Tamandua tetradactyla: one gene and its partners. The protein of the gene in region 3 purifies or fractionates together with the protein of the main gene of each other region. This does not show direct contact. Links are inferred from orthologs where the notes say so. Each region holds a gene or a part of one and is shown on either strand. Other genes may lie near its edges.

What was found. Proteins that work in one complex are often made in the same cells at the same time.
Region 1: the proteins of SNRPF (region 3) and DDX23 purify together in Homo sapiens (co-immunoprecipitation; 3 studies listed by BioGRID and IntAct, counting the BioPlex papers as one, with this or other methods). This does not show direct contact. The link is inferred for Tamandua tetradactyla from reciprocal best matches to the Homo sapiens genes SNRPF and DDX23.
Region 2: the proteins of SNRPF (region 3) and CDC40 purify together in Homo sapiens (co-immunoprecipitation; 3 studies listed by BioGRID and IntAct, counting the BioPlex papers as one, with this or other methods). This does not show direct contact. The link is inferred for Tamandua tetradactyla from reciprocal best matches to the Homo sapiens genes SNRPF and CDC40.

The regions. Positions count from the first base shown.
Region 1 is NC_135333.1:109,743,689-109,751,563, reverse strand, and holds the start of DDX23 (putative ATP-dependent RNA helicase DDX23), read left to right. Parts: upstream 1-4,841; 5' UTR 4,842-4,943; intron 4,944-7,875. UniProt on the Homo sapiens protein: Involved in pre-mRNA splicing and its phosphorylated form (by SRPK2) is required for spliceosomal B complex formation.
Region 2 is NC_135331.1:168,750,259-168,758,176, forward strand, and holds the start of CDC40 (pre-mRNA-processing factor 17), read left to right. Parts: upstream 1-4,884; 5' UTR 4,885-5,087; coding exon 5,088-5,255; intron 5,256-5,465; coding exon 5,466-5,714; intron 5,715-7,918. UniProt on the Homo sapiens protein: Required for pre-mRNA splicing as component of the activated spliceosome. Plays an important role in embryonic brain development; this function does not require proline isomerization.
Region 3 is NC_135333.1:165,942,160-165,950,216, forward strand, and holds the start of SNRPF (small nuclear ribonucleoprotein F), read left to right. Parts: upstream 1-4,976; 5' UTR 4,977-5,169; intron 5,170-5,364; 5' UTR 5,365-5,527; coding exon 5,528-5,530; intron 5,531-8,057. UniProt on the Homo sapiens protein: Plays a role in pre-mRNA splicing as a core component of the spliceosomal U1, U2, U4 and U5 small nuclear ribonucleoproteins (snRNPs), the building blocks of the spliceosome.

The DNA of each region.
Region 1 (7,875 bases), about 56 Mb from region 3:
TATGGCTTTGATGGTGTGACTGTGTGACTGTAAAAACCTTGTGACTAATACTCCCTTTATCCAATGTAGGACAGATGAGTACAAAAAAGATGAATAAAAAATAAATGAATAGGGAGATAAGGGGTATGGGATATTTGGGGTGTTCTTTTCTTATTTTTTATTTGGAATAATGAAAATGTCCTAAAATTGATTGTGGTGATGAATGCACAACTATATGATGATAACTGTGAGCCATGGATTGTATACTTTAGATAATTATATGATATGTGAAAATATCTCAATAAAATTGCATTAAAAAAAAGAACCAGCAGAGTAAGACAAACAGCAAATATCCTTTAAGCTGATATGTCTTATATGTGTTGTGAGTGAGGTATGCACAAGTACTAGGGGAACTCTGCCACTACGAACCTGGAGAAGCTTTGTCACCTTTCTGGGTTTCAATTCCCTTAATTTTAAGGATGGTGAAGAATGGTAGCCTGGAAATAGGGAAAGCATAGATTCTGAAGTTGGATGATTCTGGAGTTGAATTCTGGCTCCATCTTCCTTTTTTTTTTTAAATTGTGAAATATAACATGTATACAAAAAAGTAATACATTTCCAAGTACATTTTAAGAAGTAGTTATACAACAGATTTTAAAATTTGGCTTGGGTTACAGTTCCACGTTTTTTCTGTTTTTTTATTTTAGCTGCTCCAAGACACAGGAGACCAAAAGAAATATCAATATAATGATTCAGCAGTCATACTCATTTGTTAAATCCTATCTTCTCTGTTATATTCCTCCTCTTTTTTTTCTTTTTTGTGAAAAATAACATATATGCAAAAAAGCAAATTTCAAAGTACATCGCAACAATTAATTGTAGAACAGATTTCAGAGTTTGGTATGGGTTACAATTCCACAATTTTAGGTTTCTACCTTCTACCTTCTAAGGTACTGGAGACTAAAAGAAACATCAGTATAATGATTCAGCCCTCATACTTATGTGTTAAACTCTACCTTCTCTATATAACTCCACTCTCCCCTTTGATCTTTCTTCCACTCTTTTTAAAAAATTTTTATTAATAAAACCGATCAACAAACAATATGAACATTCTTTTTTATCACATAATTGTATATTCCTCATCATGATCATTTCGTAGAACATTTGCATCAATTCAGAAAAATAAAGAGACAACAGAGAAAAATTCATACATGCCATTCCCCTTACCCCTCCCTTTCATTGATCACTAGCATTTCGATCTAAATTTATTTAAACATTTGTTCCCCCTATTATTTATTTATTTATAAACTTTTTTTATTAATTAAAAAAATTAACAAAACATTAAGATATCATTCCATTCTACATATACAATCAGTAATTCTTAATATCATCACATAGTTGCATATTCACCATTTCTTAGAACATTTGCATCGATTTAGAAAAAGAAATAAAAAGACAACAGAAAAAGAAATAAAACGATAACAGAGAAAAAAAAGATTATACATACCATACCCCTTACCCCTCGCTTTCATTTCCCACTAGCATTTCAAACTAAATTTATTTTAACATTTGTTCCCCCTATTATTTATTTTTATTCCATATGTTCTACTGTTCTGTTGATATAGTAGTTAAAAGGAGCATCAGACATAAGGTTTTCACATTCACAGAATCTCATTGTGAAAGTTATATCATTGTTCAATCATCATCAAGAAGCATGGCTACTGGAACACAGCTCTACATTTTCAGGCAGTTCCCTCCAGCCTCTCCGCTACATCTAGAACAACAAGGTGATACCTACTTAATGCATAAGAATAACCTCCAGGATAACCTCTCGACTCTGTTTGGAATCTCTCAGCCATTGACACTTTGTCTCATTTCACTCTTTCCCCTTTTGGTCGAGAAGGTTCTCTCAATCCCTTGATGTTAATTCTCAGCTCATTCTAGGGTTTTTCTCAGTCCCTTGATGCTGAGTCTCAGCTCATTCCAGGATTTCTGTCCCACCTTGCCAGGAAGGTTCACACCCCTGGGAGTCATGTCCCACGCAGAGAGGGGGAGGGTGGTGAGACTGCTCTTCATGTTGGCTGGAGAGAGAGGCCACATCTGAGCAACAAAAGAGGCTCTCTTGGGGGTGACTCTTAGGCCTAAATTTTGAGTAGACTTGACCTATCCTTTGTGGGGTCAAGTTTCATATGAACAAACCTCAAGACTGGGGGCTCAGCCTACAGCTTTGGTTGTCCACACTGCTTGTGAGAACATCAAGAATTCAACTTGGGGAAGTTGAATTTCTCCCCACTCTCACCATTCCCTGAAGGGGGCTTGCAAATACTTTTCCACTCACTGATCAAATCACTCTGGGATTCATCGGGGCATCACTCTGGACAAACCAACAAAATCTCATGTCCTACCTGAGATTCTAAGTACTTATGACATTCAATCAAACTATCTACATGAGTTGTATTAGGAAATGCTCTTGTCAAAATATAAATTTTGTAACAAATAAACATTTTTTGCTTTAGTCTCACACATAAGGTGACATTCTAAAGTATTAATTATCATCTATCTTCAGCACCCTGCAATAATGACATTCCTTTGTTCTTATTATTTATTTTCATGCAGTATGTTTTACTCATCTGTCAATAAGGTAGATAAAAGGAGCATCAGACACAAGGTTGTCACAATCACACAGTCACATTGTGAAAGCTATATTATTATACAATCATCTTCAAGAAACATAGCTACTGGAACACAGGTCTACATTTTCAGGCAGTTCCCTCCAGACTCTCTGTTATGCCTTAACTGAAAAGGTGATACCTATTTAATGCATAAGAATAACCTCCACGATAACCTTTTGACTCTGTTTGGAATCTCTGAGCTATTGACACTTTATTTTGTCTCACTTCTCTCTTCCCCCTTTTGGTTGAGAAGTTTTTTTCAATCCATTGGTTCTGAGTCCCAGCTCATTCTAGGATTTCTGTACCATGTTGCCAGGGAGGTCCACACCCCTGGGAGTTATATAGAGAAGGGGCGGGCACTCTTTAGGGGTATACAGGCTATGCCCATTCTAACTTTACCATGTTGGAAGGGGCTATAGTGGCTCCAACCTTGCTAAGTGTTTAAGGCAAAATTAACCTTGCTGGACCACAGCCTCCTCATTGGCAAAATGGAGATAATAGCCATCTCATATGGTTATGAGAACTAAGTAAGGTGGGTTGAGTGTCCATGTAGAAGCCAAGAGTTTAAAGCAAGACCTACAGAATTTGTTGCAAGCTGCTGGCCTCAGGATGGCGGCGGTAAACTGTGGAGATTGTTATGTAGAGCAGTCTGGGAGGAAGAGAATGTTTACCCAAAACAGTTATGTTAAGTATGAAGAACACTGTGAGATAAGAATCTTGCTCCCTCAGGAAATGCCTGCGTATCTATTGACATCCTGTGGTATATAACTGGGATCTGGTTGAGAATAAAGTTGTCTGATGTCTGATGTAGATTTAAGCTTCAGACCCCCTGAACCCATTCGCATCTGTCTTTCTTTTCTTCCTTTATCTCTCTCCTTCTCATCATTCCTTAATATCCTTCGAGCTGTTTCAACATAAAGCAACATGTTCAGTGTAGGATTCGACACTTACAAGATTCTCAGCGCATGCTAGTTGCAGCTCTAAAGATTCCAGCTTTCTCTTAAGGTCTGATTTTCAGTTGTGGTTCCAATCTGTGAGTGGAGGGCCCTCTTGTGTTCACTGGTTGTAGTACACTTAGTAGATCTCAGACTTCCTTTCTCTCTGTTCTCCCTTTGGGTAGAAGTCAGGAGCAGGTCAAAGGCAGCAGAGTTCTGAGTAACTCCCAAGGTTACTTTGAGCCACTGTGTGCGAGGCTCAGGGCTTCAGAAGTATTTGCATTTATCTCGAAGCTCTGTTTGAGAAGAATGGGAAGCATATTTGGAGAGAGTAGCGGGACCCACAGCCCCGTGCGGTTGCGATAACAAAGGTGATGATGAGAAAATGGGAAGGAAGGAGGCACAAGATACTTCATGCATGGTATTTAAACTGTCCTATAAGTGGCATGGATTTTGTTTTTTAGTTTGGTTTTAGGGAATATTATGAAACCATAAGACCAAAGAGAAAAAGAATTTGGGAGTAAAAGAGCTCAGGGAGAGGGAGAACAAAGCCTAAATCCCAAGATAGCTCAACAATTGGCTAGATCCCAAAGGGCAAGAAAATGAAGCCAGGTCCTGTCTGGAATGCTGAAGGACAGCAGGTATCACAAGCAGGACAAATACACTCTCCCAGATGACCGCTGGAAACATGTGGGCTTATTTCGAGTTGTCACTATAACAGGGGGTTGTTAACGGCATTTACCTCCTTCAGGGTCACAGTTGCTAAATGTCCTCCAAAGCGTGGGATAGTACCGCACAAGGAAGAACTGATCCATCCTCGTTGTGAAATACTAGGTTACTCTTTCCCGTATCTTAACCCTTAGCTTAAGGGGCTAATAATCTTCTTCTACCTCAGAATTTTTGTAAAAATGCTTTTTCAGAAACAGTATTTTGTTGTTATTGCTGCAGTTAACTTTTATAATTAAGAAAATCATTAAATCTCTCCGCTGTTAAGGGACAAGCCATGAGAGTCATTAGCTGTAGTTCCTAGGAAGACCAGCATATTCCAGAAAGACTGCGCGACAGGAAAACTCCACGCGGGAAGTCGACCCAACGAAACTTCCTCCTCCTGCAGACGCAAAACACTTTGGCGAACCACATTATCCAGCAGACCCCGCGGCCGGGGTCGGCGCTCGCGCCGTACATTCTGGGATTGGTAGTTTCCAGGCCCTATTGTTGACTTGCAGCATTCAGGACCCGGAACTCGCCTTCCCAGCTTGCCGCGCGGCCGGGGGCTCAACTCTGTGACCAGGAAACGGGAAAGATGGCGACTGCTCGGCGACGTTAAGGCCGCGTTGGGCGGCTCACACTCAGGGTGGTGAGTCCCGGGCGAGAGAGGTGGTTCTCAGTACCTTGCAAGAGCGGGCGAGAGTGGGGTCACGGCGGTGGCCGTTGCTTCCGGCGTGAGGTGGGGAAGTACGCCTCAGGGAAGGAGCACGAGCGTGGGAAGCTCTGGTGGGCAAAAGCTGAGGGGCGCGGGCCCTTAGCTGAAAGTGTTGGCTCCTAGGGTCCAGGCCAAGACCCTAGACGCGGGTCGACGTTGTTAGGGGCCCAGACATTTGCCCACGGCATAGCCCCTTGATATTCCCTGTTCAGTTCGACTTGGTTTCTTCGTTCTTCGAGTACTTCTTGCTGCAGCCAAACTGGCACTCTGGCTTTTCTTCCAGAACCAGTGCATGCTTTCCCGCCTCTGCTCCTCCTGTATTATTTCTTTTGCCAGGAATGACTTCCTTTCTTCGCCCTCAATTACACATCATGAAATTCTACCTATATTTAAGGGCTCAAGAACTATTTCCTCTACGGAACCTTCCAACTCCCCTTTCACAAACGGAATTAAAACCCCTTTGAATTCCGGTAATACTTATCTGAGTCTTCACCCTGGCATCTATTTGCTTGTGTCTAATCCCCATTGTTGAGCTATAAACTTCCTGTGGGTAGGATCTTCCTGATTTCCTTTTGTAACTCACAGAGTGCCTAGAATGGTGCCTAGCATATAGTAGACAATTGAAAAATACTTACTTGAACGAAAAAATCTGCCCCTACCTTACAAGAACTGAGGAACTCAAAGATCTGGAGGTTTGTTTGACAGGGAATCAATAGCCAGGGCAGCTTAGTTATCTGGCCCTTTTGATAAGTAAAGCCTGTAATAAAAATGGTCTGTATTTACTGTCTATATTTTTTTCTCCTCGTTCTCTCCTTAGCTCTCTTCACACAGGCTTTTACTCCTTCTGTGGAATTGAAATAGCTTTTGTCAGGGTCACTAGCAATCTCCGTTTTTCCGAATGAATTGCTAACTTCTCTCTTTCCTGTTTTTTCTCCATCTCATTAGTATTTGACACTGTTGATTACTCCCTCCTTGACACACTTTTTTGGCTTCTGTAGTGCTATACTTTCCTTTTTACTCTTTTCTCATTACTGCTTTTTTTCCAGTTTTTTTCTCTTTCTCCTCTGCTTGACCTCTTAAAATGTCAGAGTACCCCAGAGCTCAGTTAACTATTCTGTCTACTTAAATAATATTTTGTGCCATGACTTTAAAAGCCATCTTAATGTATTGATTGACTCATATTTTTGTCTCCAGTCTTGAACTCTCCCGTGGGTTCCAGATTTGCATATGTGTCTGCCTTCCTGGAATCTCCTCTTTGTTCTCTTATTAACATCTCACACTCAACCCAAGTGAAACTTTTGATTTCCTCTTTCATCTGTTCCTCTCTCAGTCTTCTCTCGTTCAGTTTTGCCACCACTAACCATTAAGTTGATCAAACCATAAATTTAGGAGTTATATTTGTGTCTGCTCTTCCCCTCTTTCTCCTTATCAGTAAGTCCTGTCAACTGAGCTCTCAGAGCATCCCCTGAAGCTGTCTACTTCTTTCCATCTCCGTTGCCATCTTCCTAGAATAAGCCACCATTCTTTCTTTCTTTTTTTATTGAGATATCTTCACACATGTACAGTTCATGCAAAGTATACAATCAGTGGCTCAAAATGTCATCACATAGATCTGTGTTCATCACTATGATCATTTTTAGAACGTTTACATCACTCTAGAAAAAAAGAAAAAGAAAAAACTCATACATCCCAAACTGCCTTACCCTTCTTCTCATTGACCACTAGTATTTCAATCTACCCATTTTTTTTTTACCCCTTATCCCCCCATTATTTATTTTTTATTCTTATTTTTCCATCAGTTTTATGCATACACTACTGTAATAGTTTTCTCAGAGGTTATTTTTTTAGTCTTGCCCCCCCCCACATATTTTCTTGCAAATTACTGAAGTAATTCTCTTAAAATGTTAAATTATACCATATCATATCATAAACATTCACATAGTCGGATTAAAATCCAAATTCCTTGCTGTGGCTTGTAACACATTTCCATGATCTGAGTCCTACCTACCTCACTGACCTCATCTTGAATCAGTTTTTCCCCTGGGTTACTGCCATTCAGTCACGCAGGTCTGTTTTTAATTAGCAAGCATACTAAGGTAATTCCTGCCCTAGTGCCTCGGTACTTGTGATTCTTTCTACCTAATAGATTATTTTCCCTGATCTTTGCATAGCTATCTCTCCTTTTGTTCAAGTCTCAGCCTAAATGTAATCTAAAAAATTCTTTCCTAAGCTTTCTATCTCTTGTTCGTTCCCTTTCTCATCATATCACTGTTTTATTTTCTTCATTAGTACTTTGTTGGTGTTCTTACTCTTGCCTAATTATTTATTGTAAGCCACACTAGAAAGTAGAGTCTTTGATTTGTTTACTGCTGAATCTCCAGCACGTAGAATAGTTTCTGGCACCAATAGGTGCTCAATGAATATTCATTGAAAGAATGAATGAAGTTTAGGATCCTTTATAGAGCAGGTAGCCTTTCCTCTAGAGTGTTTCTTTAGGGCTATAAGTAGGAGACATAAAATTTCCAGGTGATATACATGGTCTCTCGATTATAGAACATTCAGTCATTTCTAAGGAAATTGTCAGATTCAAGTGGCTTGTTTCCACCTTTTCTAAGTGCTATGCATTCTTTTTTCTTTTCTCACCTTTTTAAATTTCCTTTTTGAAGATACATGGCAGGGGATGGCATGAAAAAGGGGACTGCAAGCTAAAGTTTAGGGAACTGATATTCTAGCTGAACCAGCTGGGTATAAAGTAAGTTCTGAGAAATGTATCCTAAGCCTTAAGGATGATGATGATGGATAGAGGAAGATTCAGATTTGCTGTCATTTTAACTCCTGGCTGAAGTAGTCCAAGGGACAGTCAACA
Region 2 (7,918 bases), on a different chromosome or scaffold from region 3:
TGCCCCCTGTAAGGTTGCAGATTTAGCAAATAAAAAACAGAATGTTCCACATTTTATCTGGCAATCCTATCCTCAGGCCACATTCCATCTCTTTTCCATTATACTCCCACTCCCTAACCTCAGTTCCAATAATTTTCCTTTAAAAAAGAAAGCAATTCCTCTCAAGATTCAATGGATATGATCTTTATCAAAGGACAAATAAAATCTACTTTGACTTTACTTAAAGGGTCTTGATAAAAAAATAACTCAAAAGAGGAAAAGAAAGATTATCTTAATTCTTTTCCTTGGTGGTGCTAGGAGTTTTCTTTAAAACAACAACAACAACAACAAACAAGCAAAATATAAAAGGAACAACAAAATACCTCTAAAATCTGAAAAGCTTCCTTCTGAGAACAGACTATTCTTGCTAGAAATTGATCCAGGAAGGAGAAATACCCTGGCCAGAAGTAATAAACAGTGAAATTAGAAAAGGAAAATGAATTCACAGTAAAAGGGGGTTATACTGAGCAGAAAGTACCTTAGGATTTTATTTGTAGCTAGAAGGGACCTCAGTGGTCACTTGATTCAACCTTCTCATTTTACAACCAAGAAAACCATGAGAAGTAAGTGACTTGCCCATGGTTACAGGGAAGAAAGACCCCATCTCTTTCCAATTTCCCTCATTCCCTGGTCCTTTGCCCCAGATAATGGAAGGTGACAGCACCCACTGAACTGAGGAAGGCCCTTCTCTTCATGTCCAATTGTCAAGAGAAAAGTTCCAAATAATCCTGTGAGGTCCAGCATAGGAGAAAAGGTATTCGCAGCATTTCAAGCTAGATTCTGAATTATTTTTCCACAGAAAATAGACATTTTATTAGAGATACTTTAATATATTATTTATACTAGTACTATAATTTTTATAATTCTCTAATATTCTTAGCATAATCCTATAGGTATACTATGGATTAAACAGTCTTTAGTAGACCACCTAAAAATCTAACCACCAATAATATTGTTTCTATTAGAAAATTAAGTTATGGGTTTTAAACCATTTTACAATATAATCAATCCCAGTCTAAGGTAGGAACTACCAGTAAATTATAAATTTGATGTGATAAATTAAAAACACAAGATTCCTCATTTATAAAAAGCTCCACCACAGAGGTCATTTATTTTTAAATTAGGTATTCAGGCAGTTAACACAGGATTTGATATACATACATCTTTTTATTAATAATTCACTAGAAAACTGAGATAAATAAAAAAGAAACAATTTCTATACTCATCTTATTTAGGAAAAACAAAAAAATTAACACATATTTTTATCAAATGAGTTATAAAAGGTCAGAATAAAATTGTTCATATTTTCACAACTGAAAAGTTGCCAAGTTATACATTTTTCAGTATCTAGTGCTAGTTCAAAAAATGGATGAGTAAAGGAATTATGAATTAAGTCTGTACAGGTAAATGGAGTTTAAAGAACCCCCACATATCACATAAAGATATGTGATGTTTCACAAATTAAAATTTTAGTTTGATAAATCTATTTTTAGATTTAAATTTCTACCCAGTCAATTGTTTAATGGATATTTTCACTCATTCATTTTATTTGCCAACAAAGAAAACTGAGGCATTATTATTTTCCAGACACTATGCTAAAAACTTGGAATGTATGACTACACATCAAGTCAGTTCCTGTCTTCAAGTAGCTTGACTTAAATGCATTTACCTGAGAATAATAACAGCTCAAACTCTTTTTTTTTTTTTGGCATGGGCAGGCACGGGGAATCCAACCCGAGTCTCCAGAATGGCAGGCAAGAACTCTACCACTATGCAACCATCTGCCCGCCCCACAGCTCAATTCTAATTGGTCATTTTAAAAAATGATTATAAAATGTAACAAAGTTAATTCACAAAGGAAAAAACACAATAGTAATTTTAAAGACAATTTAACACTCAATATTTATATGAATTTTTTTCATAAAGTAACCAAAAACACTGTTTTGGTAAAAGTTCTAATAATATAACAGCTTAATGGTAATTTTTGCTATGAAAATGAACTGTTAATTCTCCAATAAGGAAATCAAAAGCTTCTAACTACTATGGCAATGAAAAATCAAACACCGAGAAAAGATATCTTAAACTATTCTTGTAATAAATCAAAATGCATAATAATTTATAGTCATATACTATTAATAGATGGCTTCTGAAGATGTAGATTTTAACAAACCTGAATGATAAACAAAGTAGCTCTATATTAAACCCTAGAAATGATCACAACTATGTATTCTGGATTATGTCATCTGCAAATTTTTCAATGAAAAAGGCCTTAATATTTTAAGGAGATTTTACTTTTAACAAACGTAATTCAGTGTTCCATTGGTTTCATTATAGAGTCATAAAATTTTTTCATCAATATTAATGACATATCGAGATCAATAAATCTGCAAATATTAAAAACTCTTCATGGATGAAAAACATTCTTCACTTTAGAGCTATACCTCTTCAAAGCAAAATTCAATGTGAATCAGCCATTCTAAAGTGCGAGGGGAAATTCTAACGACATTTTTTCGTTGTATTTTACACAAATATTTTCATGATTCATCAACTAAAATATTTACCTTTAAAAGCATTACAAAAACATCTTTACTAAATTCAAACAACTACCTAGAGAAGTAAATGGGTAGTGTCTTCATTTACATACAAGGAAACCAAGGCACAGAGGTATCTGTTCTGTAAATTGCAATGTCATTTCCTAAACAAGGATTTGATTCTACTGCTATCAAGTTATATGTGAGCCACTTACAAGTACCATAAAACAATTATCGTACCTTAAAACAACTGCCTCTGCAATGCCTATGCACAATTTCATTTTATTAAAAGGAAAAGTGCAACTGCTTAAACAATGAAAGCTGGAAAGGGAGGATTAAAAAATAAAAAGAAAACACATATTTAGCAGTGAATAATTTATTTTTAAATAATGATATGTAAACAGTTTTTAACATAATTATCAAGTTGTTTCTTATACTTTCCAAAAATATTTCATCTTTCTGATATGACAGATCATGCAAAAATGGAGACTACCCATCCTTGTGGATAGAAGTTAGAAAAATGAGAAAAAAATTCTACAAGCAATCATAATAATCGAAATTGCAAAGAAAAGAACTGAATAAAAATAAAATTTAAATAAATTAGGGTATGCTCAATATGACAGTTAAAACCCCATCTTAAATTCTTGCATTCAACTAAATCACGGCTATGATTAGCAATCAATTATTCTGCTACTGAAAAATAAAGAAATACAAAACTTTTCTTAATCAAAACTTGAGAAATTTCATATCAAGTATTTTAAGGAAATATTTGACATAAATAATAAGTTTCTTTTCCCAAAAGAAACTTAGAGCATAATGGCAAAACTGTTTCTGAGAGTTCAGAGTCATACTGCATTTGTAGTTATGATAAATATAGTTTATATCGACAATATATATATATAGTTTCTATCAACAATTAGAAAAATGGAAGTTACCATGGAAATTCAATTTAAGAACAATAAATAAGACGTGTTGAGTAGGCAATAAATTAACTTACTGAACAGAAATAAGACAACACTTCAATCTAACACCCAAGAAAGAAAATTAATCCGAGGCACCCTATCCATAGAAAAGGATAGGATTAGAATGAGTCGTATTCTAGCACCTAGCCGAGCTAGGGATTTATTAATTGCTTTAGGACAGGTAGTAAAGCACATTAGGACAGAATGTGCTTTCTTTTCATCATTATTTCAGTTTACCATCCGCGAGTGCAAAAGGCGTCAGAGTACAGAAGCTAGGGGGCATGCTGTAGCAAGGGGAAAAGAAAAATGGAAAAGGTGCAATGGATGCTGCATAGTTGAATAATTATCTGGGTGGCACAATGGGCGAGTCCAGCCCACATCGGAGCTAAGAGAGCTGCTCCCTAACTCTGCCCAAGGGGTCCCCATTAACAGGCATCAGAGGAGACCGCACCACTTTGCCTCCTCTTCAAACGAATAAAGGATTTCCCATACTGGCTTTACCGTTATGTCTATAGACACCGACTCGCCGCGCAAACACGCAAACGCACGAGCTTGCTTTACAGAGCCTGGGTCTCAAAGAGCGAGCAGGGGATTCTCTCCGACCCGGTGCTGCAGCCTACCCGCAAACGAGGAGGCAAGGGGGCCACCAGGCGGGCAGGAGACGTGGTGGCGGGGCGGGGGGGGGGGGGGGTTCTGGCGATGGCACCTCAGGTGATCTCTCTGCCTAGGGCAGCTTCAGTGCGGTCCCTGCAACCGAAACCCAAGCGCGCTAGCCCCCGTCTCCCTCGGCACCTAGCCTGGCCGGCGAGTGGGCGGCGGGAGCTCGGGAAACCCACGAATGGGGGTGGGGGTCGTCGGAGGGAGAGGCGCGCCCATTCCTTAACATTTGCCGGGCTAGAGAGCCACACACACCTCTCTGTTCGGCTGTGGAGGAAGAGTTCCTATCTTAGCATCCCCCGCACCCACCAAAAAAATTCCTGAGAGACTCGCGCTCACCATGAAATCTTGGGGGCTCTTGCCTTAGCCCTTCTTCATGCTTTGGCGGCGGCCGCCGGACCCTCTCAGATCTTGGTGCTCCACCTAGGAGCGTCGGGCTCGGAATGGAATCCGCTCCTGGCGGCGGCCGAGGCTCCAGGCCACCGGAATCGCCGCTTGCGGCGCCAACCGGTCGCCGGACCCACAGTGTGCTCGACGCGCGAGCGAACAACACCGGGAACCGCCGCCGCCCCCCGGCCGCCCCCTCCCCGCGCGCGACGCTCCACAACCGGGCGCGGGGATACGCGCCGGAAGCCGGGGGTGCCGCTGGACTCCCGTCACCTAACCTCTCTTCCTTCCCAGCGGGAGCTATTCCCCGCCAGTTAAGGTCTTCGAACTTAAGACTCAGTTTCTTCTATAGTTCCCAGTGCCCAGGCATAACCCTTGTGGGAAACTCTGCCCACTCACCTGTCCGTGAGGATGGATATACCGCCCCCACCCCCCTTCCTGAACCGGTGTGGTATTGCCCAATCCTCCGTTTGGGGGAAGGGGAGCGGAGAGCACAGTGCTTGGCTAGGGAATGAGGGAAGATGATAGCCAATTGAATGAACCATCCTTTCGGGGGCGGGATCAAAGAGAGGCCTGCCAGGCCGGTCCCGCCCCCTCACCTCAAACTACACTTCCCATCGTGCCTTCTCCCACTTCCCGCCGCGCAGCACGCCGGAAGTCAGGAACGCAAGGCCTCAAGGTATTTCGGTACTCGTAGTCTTTAAGCTAGTCAAATAGGTCCTGAAAGTTATAAACTATTTTTATTCTCTGTGTTTCCCTAGATAAATGATTCCAAATTCTTTATTAACTTGGGGGTTACTATATTTGTAATTACTTGATTGTTTGAAAATGTTATAAACGCTTTCTTAGTAAAGCGGGGCAAATAATATGTTCTGTGGTAATCTGTCAGGACCTGGGAGCCCCTTCTTCTTCCGCCGGGCCTGGTCTTCGCAGCGGGTCTGTTGCCGTCATGTCGGCTGCGATTGCAGCTCTGGCTGCTTCCTATGGTTCGGGTTCAGGGTCCGAATCGGACTCAGACAGTGAGAGCGGACGATGTCCGCTACCAGCTGCCGAATCCCTTATGCACCTGACTAAATTGCCTTCGGCCAAGCCTTCTCTGGCAGTTGCAGTGGACTCGGCTCCGGAGGTGGCAGTTAAGGTAAGGGCTTTGGCCGCTGCTGCGGTGCGGGAATTTTTGGTTTCTCTTCCAAAACCCGCCGCCAGCTAGGGCTTGTTAGGCTTCCTTGTACCTTTTCCTCAGTGCTGAGAGAAAGTTCTGAGGCTTGAATCTCTTGTGCTTCCTACATGCGTCTTCCTCAGCTGAGTCGGAGAATTGGAAGTTCAGGACCGCCCTCCACTGCTTCTCACCCTGTCCCCGGCCCTAAGAAAGCAAGTGGAAGAAGGGGATGAAATTTGAGTGTATATATTAGAACGTGGCCTCCATAGAGCAAGTGCAATCTGAAAACATAAATAAAGAGAGATTAGGATCGCCCAAAATAAAGAATGTGCCGTTACTGAAGTGAGCAGTGGCTCGGCTTTGTTTTGTTTATGAAATTAGAACTGAGTTCGAATTCCGACCCTAACAGTGTGTGAACCCGGGCAAGTTATTCCACCTCTTCCTCCTTCTCTTGATTTTAAAAGTACCTGTCTATGGGAGTATATTATTGTGAAGAGTAAGTGAAATGATACATATAAATTAATAGCGCAGTGCCTGGTACCTAGTGACAATTCAATAAATGCTAGTTGTTATGATGGTATATGTTGGTATACTTAAGAAAAAGACCTTGGATTTACGAAACCGTGTACATGATCCCAGTAGAAGAAAAGTGCTAGAGGGAGATGTGGGTTATGTAATTCATTTCACAAATATTTACTGAGCACACGTTATTTGCCACGAACCCTTCTAAGGGCTGAAAACACAGGCAAACAAGCCAGACATCCTTGCCATCATGATACATACATTGTAGTGGACAGGTAGACAATAAAATGTGAGCAAAGAAGGCGGTTACAGATTGGGCTGAGTACTGTGAACGAATAATGTAGAGTGCCATGATAGAGAATAAGGTAAGAATATTAGTTTAGATAAGTTGGTCAGGAAAGCTCTCCCTGAAAAGGTGGCTTATGATTTGGAAATGGAGAACGAGAAGGATGCAACAATGTACAAGCTAAGGTAAGAGTTCCCCCTCAAAGGGCACAGCAAGCCTTGAGGTGGCAAAGATCTTAGTATGTTTGAAGAACTAAGAAAACACTAGTATGGCTGAAGCTCACTGACAGAAGCTCACCAGTTGGTAGTTATTTCAGTTTGCTAAAGCTGCTGGAACACAATATACCAGAAATGATTGGATTTATTAGGCTACAGATTTATAGTTCTAAGCCTATGAAAATTTCTAAATTAAGTCATCAAGAAGAGGATACCTTCTCTGAGAAAAGCTGTTCCCATCCAGGGTTCCTTTGTCACATGGAAAGGCATATGGCAACGTCTCCTGTTCCTTCTCTCATGGTTCTGATTTCAAAATGGCTCTCTCAGCTTCTGTGGGTCCTTCTTGCTTCTCCCAGGATATTTTCTCTTTCAACTTCTCTGAGTTTGTACTGTCTTTTATCCTCCCACAAAGGACTCCAGTAAAGGATTAAGACCCATCTTGAATCGAATGGATCACATCTCCATGAAAACAACCTAAGCAAAAAGTCCCACCCACATAGGTCTGCACCACAGGATGGATTAAAAGAACATAGGCCTGGGTGGGCCACGGTGGCTCAGTGTCAGAGTTCTCACCTGCCATGCCAGAGACCTGGCGTTCAATTCCTGGTGCCTGCCCATGCAAAAAAAAAAAAAAAAAATGAACCTAGACTTTTTCTAGGGTACATAACAGATTCAAACCAGTACAGTAGTGTAAACCCAAACAAGCCCAATAGGAATGATCAGAAGGTCAAGATGTGGAAAGAGGAGACAGAATGCAAAAATTCCTTTGTATTTAAGGTGCTCCCAAGTATAATGTTATAACTTAAAAAAAGTCTTTTACAGGTTTTTAAGGTTTAAATTACCTTCGTGAATTTTACTTTTTATTATTGGACATATGGCATAAAACGATGCTTAGAATCCTATCTTGATAACAAAACAAAACTCCCCAAACTTGTATCCCTTCAGCAACATCCTGAGTCGTCCTTTCACAGATCTTCTTTTTGGAGCTCTCTTCACTTCTACATCTCATTTTCTCCTTAACCCAGTGTAAACTCGCCTTAGCCTCTTGGGAAACTACTCTTCTTGAATGCTGTTGGAGGTGTTCCAGTTGTCAAATTTTGTCATCTGTCTTGAATCTGTGTCAAGTGTTCTGTGGCTCAGTTTTTTTCTCATCTGCAGACAGG
Region 3 (8,057 bases):
AGTCTTCTCTTCTCCTTCTGGGGGATGGCAATAATTCTCATATTTGTGTGCTTCATATTGTCCATCATTTCCCTGAGATCCAATTCAAATTTTCCTTCTTTTTCAACATTTGTTCTTTTGTGCATTTGAATTCAGTTGTCCTGTCTTCTAGTTCACTTATTTTTTTTCACCTCTTCAAATCTACTGTTGTGTGTCTCTAGTATATTTTTAATTTGAGCTACAGCAACTTTCATTTCTGTAAGGTCTGTTATTTTTCTATTTATTCTTTCAAATTCTTCTTTATGCTGTCTAGTATCTTCCTATCTTTTTTTAGCCGACCCACTGAACTTATTTAAGAGATTCGTATGAACATCTTTGATTAGTTGTTCCAAATTCTGTGTCTCCTCTGGTGTTTTAAATTGGTCATTTGGCTGGGTCACAATTTCTTGCATCTTCATGTGCTTCGTGATTTTTTTGTTGACTTCATGACATTTGATTATCTTGAAAAAATTAGTTTGAAAATTGATTTCAAAGTCATCTAAGATTTTGGAGTTGTTTGGGTTTGTGTTGAAGGTCTCCTTTTGCACTTGGTTTGTCAGCAGTTCTCTGCCAAACCAAGGCCGGGACCTCATGCAGGAGATGCAACTCTAACTGGAGATCTTTTAGAGGCTAGGCAGAATGGTGGCTTGCCAGGCTACACCTCCCTGGTCTTTCCAGCAGATGGTGCTCTTGGGCCACCTCTCTCCATCAGGCCTGACTTACCCCTGCTGGATCCCAACCCAGTGTAAAGCCAGCCAGGGCCGCAGGTCAAGATGTGCAGTGAGAGCCACCATCCCCAGGGCCGGGGGTGGGCAGTGTGCACCACGGTGGGGAATCCACTTGTGGGCACCATGGGTCTGGTGGTTGCCGGGCTCCTGCGTGCAAAGACTGAGGACTGAGTATTACAACTGCCCCTGTCCTCAGCCAGCCAGGAGTGCCTGGGGGTGCTGCACGGCTTGCCCCATTGTCCCCACCTCTCCACCCATGCATGCTGTGAGCACTCCAGGCCTCCAAGACAAAAGGATAGATGTAGCAGGACCCAGGGAGTCTCTCTCACTAGCTGTCAGATTGGCTCTGCTCTGTGTTCCCCCCTCCTCCCAAGGGAAGGGCCCCCCAGCCTCCACCCAAACCAGGCTCCCACAGCGACTTTCCTCAGGGGTTGGTGGGCAGGCCCTGTGCACTGGCAGCAAGGCCTCTGCAGTAAACCAAGTCTGCTGGCTTTGTAGTTCCCCACGGGAGCCCCAGCTGCAGGGCCAAGAGGGAAGACCTCTCAAGCTGAAATGGAGGTGGGCAGGAGTGCAGGAGCATTCGGCTCCACTCCAGCCTGCATGCTGCAGCCTGCCCCAGTTGCATCACAACTGAGTTAACTCACCCCATCTTCTCAGTCATAATTTCTGTTTTTTCATCCAGGTCCTCCCTAAATAATGTAGAAGTCCCTCTTTGGTACTCATACCCTGGAACTGCTGTCCTCCTGTCACTTCTCTAGTTGTTCCACAGAGCAGAGGCGAGCTCAGACTACCCTATTCTGCCATCCTCCCTGCATCCTCAGTTTAATTTTTAATAGGCAATTCACTCAAGGGTTCCAAAAATAGAACATATAAAACAGCACATACAGTAAAAAGCCTCATCCTTATCTGCTTTCAACCCAATTCCCATTATACTCCAATTAGGGTAGCCAATGTTCTTAGTATTTAGGAATCCTCCAGTTAATTTATGCACATACAAATAGACTGTTATTTCCCTTTTCAACACAAGGTAACACATTACATTATTGTGTCATACTTTTCTTAGTAATTTATCTCGGAGAGCTTTCCATATCTATTTATGGATACTTCTTTCTTTAGTACAACTGCAAATATTCTATTTTGTAGATGTGTGACAGCCCATCTACTGAGTTGTTTATTGATGAACACTTTGGCTCTTTCAAACCTCTCTTCCTGGTCAGGCTCTGCACCCAGCCTCCGGGATGCCATCTGTGTGGACACCTTCCTCACCCAATTTGGGCCCATGCAGCAACCCCCATTCCACAGCATAAATGCCTTCTTTGCTCAGCTTCTCTTGAGGACCTTAGGACTGAATTGTTCAGGAAGGAAAGAGAGGGAGTCTTGTATTAACTCTTAATGCTCACTACCACTCTGGGAGAAAGGAGGAAGTATTCTTATTTAATGGTGGAAAAAGCTTATCGAGGTTGAGTTCTCTTCCCATGTTCTCACAGTTAGTAGATGTTGGAGCCAGGATTCAAACCCAGATTCAAATCTGGTCTCAGACCAGCTCTGGGAACCATGATGCTGCTAATCACATAAACCATCATATAAAAAGTGCTGTTAAGTATATTATATCAATGTTTTCAGTGACATCTTCTGATACCTCAAATATTGTCCTTTTTTATATAACCTTGTTATATATATGAACAAATCTTATAGCCCAACTCAGGCTTTCTCAGCCTTACTTTGTCTCTCAGGTTTTCGGCTGCTAGTTCCTAAAAACAACGCTGTAAGAGAAGTACTGTCCTTGTTGTCCTCTCTTTATTGATGCAGAAACTGAGGCAAGATAAATTAACTAGCACATGGCAGAATGAGGATTTGAACTCAGGTGGTCTTGGCTCCCACCACAGTGCCAGGTTTCCTTTGAGGTACAGTTCCCTCTGTATGATAGGAACAGGAAGTGCTTTGAACCACCAAAAAGACTTTGATTCTAATTTAGGTGTAGTGGCTTTATGAGTTAAGGAAGTTAATATATATAAATATAAATATAAACATAAATATAAATATATATATATTGGCATGGGCAGGCTCCGGGAAGTTAATTATTTTTGAGCCTTAATTTCTTTACGAGACAAAATACCACATCTCTCAGGTATAACACAAAATGTGTAAAGCATCAACTAAATAGAAGGTACTTGAAACTTAGATTTTCCTCCCTTAAACTTACTTTAGCCATAACTATAACTGTTTCTGACTATAATCATAGAAAAACAAAATGTTGAGATTATGGGAATAAAAGAGAGAAAATGAAAGGCAGAGATCATGGATTTCAAAGAGAACTTTCTGAACTCTATTCCCCTTCATCCTTTTGGGGATTCTATATATTTATTTATACTCTATTCAAAAACACTGAGAGGGTAGGCATTGTCTCCTAGGCTTTGGATCCATTTCACCTTCCACATGGCCTTGGACAAAAATGCATAACCTCTGTGACTGCCTCCTCTGCTCCGAAATGGGGACTATGATACCTATCTTGACATATGGTAAGGACTTAAAATAAATAACATGAAATACACCAGCATAACATGGCAGGCAGTCAATGTGCGTTAGCTCCCTTCCTTTCAAAGAGGTTTTTAAGTTCCACAAGGGCAGAGATTACATGTCCAATTTACTCACTATTTTACCCTCTGAGTGCCTACTTCATAGAAGATTCTCAATAAAAATTTCTTGGTCATTTACTAAATTACTCTAAATGTTTGTTTACATTGGAATTTTTGGATCATGTGCTGAGGTGTGGTAGCACTCAGGTCTTACCAACTTGCTCAGCCTAATTAATAACTCGGGACAGTTTCCTCAAAGTGTACCCAAAATGTATTCTATCCTTTCTTCAAAAAATGTAAACCTTTTTATTTCCCACAGATTAAACCAATTATTCTGATAGATATTCTGTTGAATCTTTGCCAACATGGCAAAATATACTTCTAGAAGTCTTTAAAATAATAATGTCCTTTAACCCAGGAAGGATCGGAGATTTATTTCAAGCAATCAGAAATACCCTCAAAGAGTCACACACAAATATGTTCAACACACATTTATGGGGGGAACTGGGAATGACAAAAGAATGATTAATTAATCATCATATATGCATAAAATAGTAGAATGGAGGCATTAAACCACACTTTAGAAGAATTTTTATTTATATAAGAATTTGCACACTATAAAGTGAAAAGTTACAAAATATCTGTTTTTAAACGTACATATGTTACAATAACTGTACAAAGTAACAAAGTAAACTTTGTTGACTTTGATTGATGGAATTACCAGTGATTTTTGGTTTAATTTTTAGAACTTTTTGTATCTTCCAAAATTCCCACAAAACATACGTCTGGCATTTATAGTCATAATATTCAACGTGAGAAGAAAAAAACAACTTTAAACACAACTAGCTTTACAAAGATTAACGTTTGGGGTGAAATTTTTTCTTTTACTTCACTGAGAAAATGGCTTTTTTTAAAAAGTCAGACTTCTGAAAAATATAGCTGCCGAGCCCGTTTGCTCATCTCATCTCTAAAATGGGGCTGGTAACTGCCAAATCACAGACCCCGAGGGAAGATTTCCTCGCTAACGGCGGTCGAGGGCCTGGCAGACATCGGAACGCAAAGTCTGCACGAAGGCTAGGTATTTACTGAGTAATTGTCAAGATAAGGGGAAGTCCATAGACATCTGGAGTAATTACAAAAATTGCTTGGCATAAACTATTCTAAAACAAAAGTAAACCGACAGCGCCGCTCCAAGCGCCTTTCCACGAACCTGTACTCACCGGCCCTCGGGACCCGGCTGGGTCCCAGCACAAGTTGTAGGAACCAACGGCGCCTCTCACCGTCCTGAGGTCCCGAGGCCCCAACCGTCTTCCTTCCTAACACTCCATCCTCGGCCCAAATTCCTCCCCCAAGGGCCGCAGCAAGTTCTCAAGAACTGACTGGGGTTCCTTCAGGGTAGAGAGGAGCGAGGATCGAGGGCCCGGGAGGCGGGCAGGGCGGCCCCGGCACCCGCTCGGGCCTCGACCGCGCACGCACGGAACGGGTCTACCGGTCCCCGCGGGCAGCGGAAAAGAAGAGGAATGGCAGGGACCGCCACCCCGTTTCCAGACTCGGCTTCACCTCATCGGAAGTCAGTTCCGGACCTGACTTTCTGCGGGGTCAGAATGAGCACTACAGAATAAAAAGGACCCGCAGGTACAAGGAGACCGTGGCAGAGGCGCCGCCATCTCTCCCGCCGGTCATAAAATCCGCGGGAACGTAAAGAAGACACTCGAGATGCCCGAGCTCGTTCCCATGGAAGTACAGGGCAAGGGGAATCCCTAGCACAGAAATCACGTCCGTTTGGCATTGTGCACAGCGTCTCCCAACCCGGAGGTCTAGACAAGGTTCTTCCAAAGGCCCCCTGGGTGAGTGAGCAAACGGCGTGTCCAAGGGCCCCCCGCGGGCTCTGCCGGCCCCCAGGGACCCGTGTCCCGAGCGCAGGGCCTCAGGCTGTAGCCGGGTCCGCGACCCCGAAAGCACTCGCGCACGACGTGGGTTGCCAGGAGACGTGACCAGCCGCCTCCTCCAATCAGCATGCATCTCTTTGCGTCCAATCACAGGCGTCAGGAGGGCTGTGGTGGAGGTGAAAGGTCACGCTGCTGTTTGGCGGCCATTTCTCCTCAGGTTCAGAGACCCCCGGCCTACGACAGCCGCTCCAGACACCGGGGACGGACGACAGCGGGGTCGGAGGCGAGCGGCCTGCAGCATTCATTGGTAGTCACGATGGTAAGAAGGAGAGAGCGGCCAGGCTCACCGGAGAGGGCGAGAGGGAGGGCAGCAGCCTCGCCCGGCCTGGTGGCGGTTTCACGCCTTCCCCATTCATTCGCGTGAGGGGCCGCGCGCGCTGCAGCCAGTCTCTTTCTCTCTGATCTGGAGGGGTCTGAGGCGCGCGCTTCTTCCGGAGCCCTCCTCGCCCCCTCCCCAGTAGGGCCCCTTCCCTTCTTCGTTTGCATCCGGATCTGAGATTTCCCGCTGGCTGGGACCACCGGGTCTGGGTAAAGATGAACCAGGGTCTTGGATCGCTGGGTTCAAAAACCCCCAAACCCACTTTTATTCCATGGTGTTAGGATACTCAGCCCTGCAGCCCTCTGGAACACAAAGCCCAGACTTGAGAGCATTCATTTATCCATTCAGCAGATATTTATTAAGCGCATATTACTTACTAGATACTGCTCAAGGGCGTTAGGAATATCGTGTGAAAAATATTCATGTTTACCCTGTCCTAGGTGAACTCATGGTTGTTTGTGGAAAACAGACGTTACTCAGTAATAGGAGTAAATATATAGTTGCAAGTAATGATAAGTGGTAATAAGGAACTAAACAGGATGCTGTGCGGGGTGATGTGCCTGGGTGTGGAGATGGATGGTCAGGGATGGCCTCTGTGGGAGGTGGGATTTGACCAGAGACCTAAAAAATAGAAAGACTGAACTACAAGAAACATAAACAGAGGCCCTAAAGTCGTAAAGAAAGCTTGACCAGTTACACGAATTGACAAAAAGCCACAACTGCATGCAAGAAAAGTGATTATGAGATAGGACAGGAGGAGCAGGAATTGGGTAGGCCCTTTTAGGCCATGTAAGGGGGTTTGAATTTTATTCCAAGTGTAATTGGAGCCATGTAAGCATTTTAAGCAGAGATAAGATGTGACTGAATATATACTTTAAAAGACAGTGGTTCAATATAGAATTATCATATGACCTGGCAATTCTACTTCTGGGTACATAAGCAGAGAAAATGAAAATAGGGTCACAAACAGATACTTGGACACCAGCTTTTATAGCAGCATTATCCGCAACATCAAAAAGTAGAAACAACCCACGTATCCAACAACAAATGAATGAATAAACAAAATATGGTGTATACACATTATTTAATGTTATTTGGTTGTAAAAAAGAATGTAGTTGTGAGATGCTGCCACATGGAAGAACTTTGAAAACATGCTGGGTGAAATAAGCAAGACACTTATGTTCAGGTATTGTATTTTATCAATCATAAAAGTTGACTAGAAATAGCGAATTGCTAGAGGTGGAAAGCAGATTAGAGGTTACCAGGAGATGGAAGGGGGTGGGGGTGAAGTAAGTGTTTGCAAAAAAAAAAAAAAGAAAGTGGGAAGATGTGGACTTTATTCTCAAAAAGAATTGATCAGACAAATAGCAACACGGTAAATCTTGCCTCAAAATTGAGGAAGAGATGAACTAGAGACAGACACAAAGATCACAAAAAAGGAAAAGTGGAAAGGGAAGACATGGTTGACCTGATCATAATGTTTATCTGACAAGCCTATTTTCTACAGATTGATCATCTAACACTAGATTAAAGATGTTCATAACTTTTCTTAACCAATCATTCTTCTCAATGAAAATGAGGACAATGATTTCATCTTGGAAATTCTTGTGAGATCAAAGGGCATTCGTTTCCACAAAAAGATAAAAAATATATAGTATTTTTTGAAGTCTCAATAAATATTCACATTTCCTACAACAAAATAATAGTTGCAGTAGTGATAATAAATTGGGAAGAGATGAGTAAAAACTGGAGACCCATTAGGTGCCTATTTCCATTGTCTCCATGTCCTTTGAGATCACTTTGAATATGCTATTCTTAGAGGGGCGATTAGTAGCCAAGTTTCATGGTTCTTTTCTTTGTGCTTTTGGGTGAACAGATAAGGGAAAGAGAAAAGTCTGAACTCACCTAGGATACTACTGGTTGGCTTCATAAACAGAGGTTAAGTGATTGCCCATACGGAGGCAGGCATTGCTAGGCATTAGTGATAGCAAGTCAAAAAACCCACCTAGCCCTGACCTCAAGAATTAACGTGTGAGTTAGTCAAACATGTTCTATCTTGTGCTTCCTTCTGTAGCTTCATATTTGGGGCTCTAACAGTACTGAAGTATTTGTACGTCTCTGCGCTTGCCTTGTTACTTCACCTTTCCCTGCTTTTCTATTGGTAATCTGTGCTTTAAAAAATCCCTTTTTTGGGCGGTGCAGCAGTGGCTCAGTGGCAGAATTCTCGCCTACCATGCCAGAGACCCCGTGTTTGATTCCCAGAGCCTGCCTATGTTCCCCAAAAAAGCCCTTTTTCCCTTCGAACATCTCTCATCCTTTATGTTACCTCTACCCTCATGCCCCCCAAGCTTCTTGGGGAGGGGACGATGTCATTTGCATTTTTTTAGTGCCTTTAGCTTTGTTTCTTTAGAACCTGGAACAATGAGTGATGTAAAGTAGGCAATCACTGTTTAAGTGAATAATGAA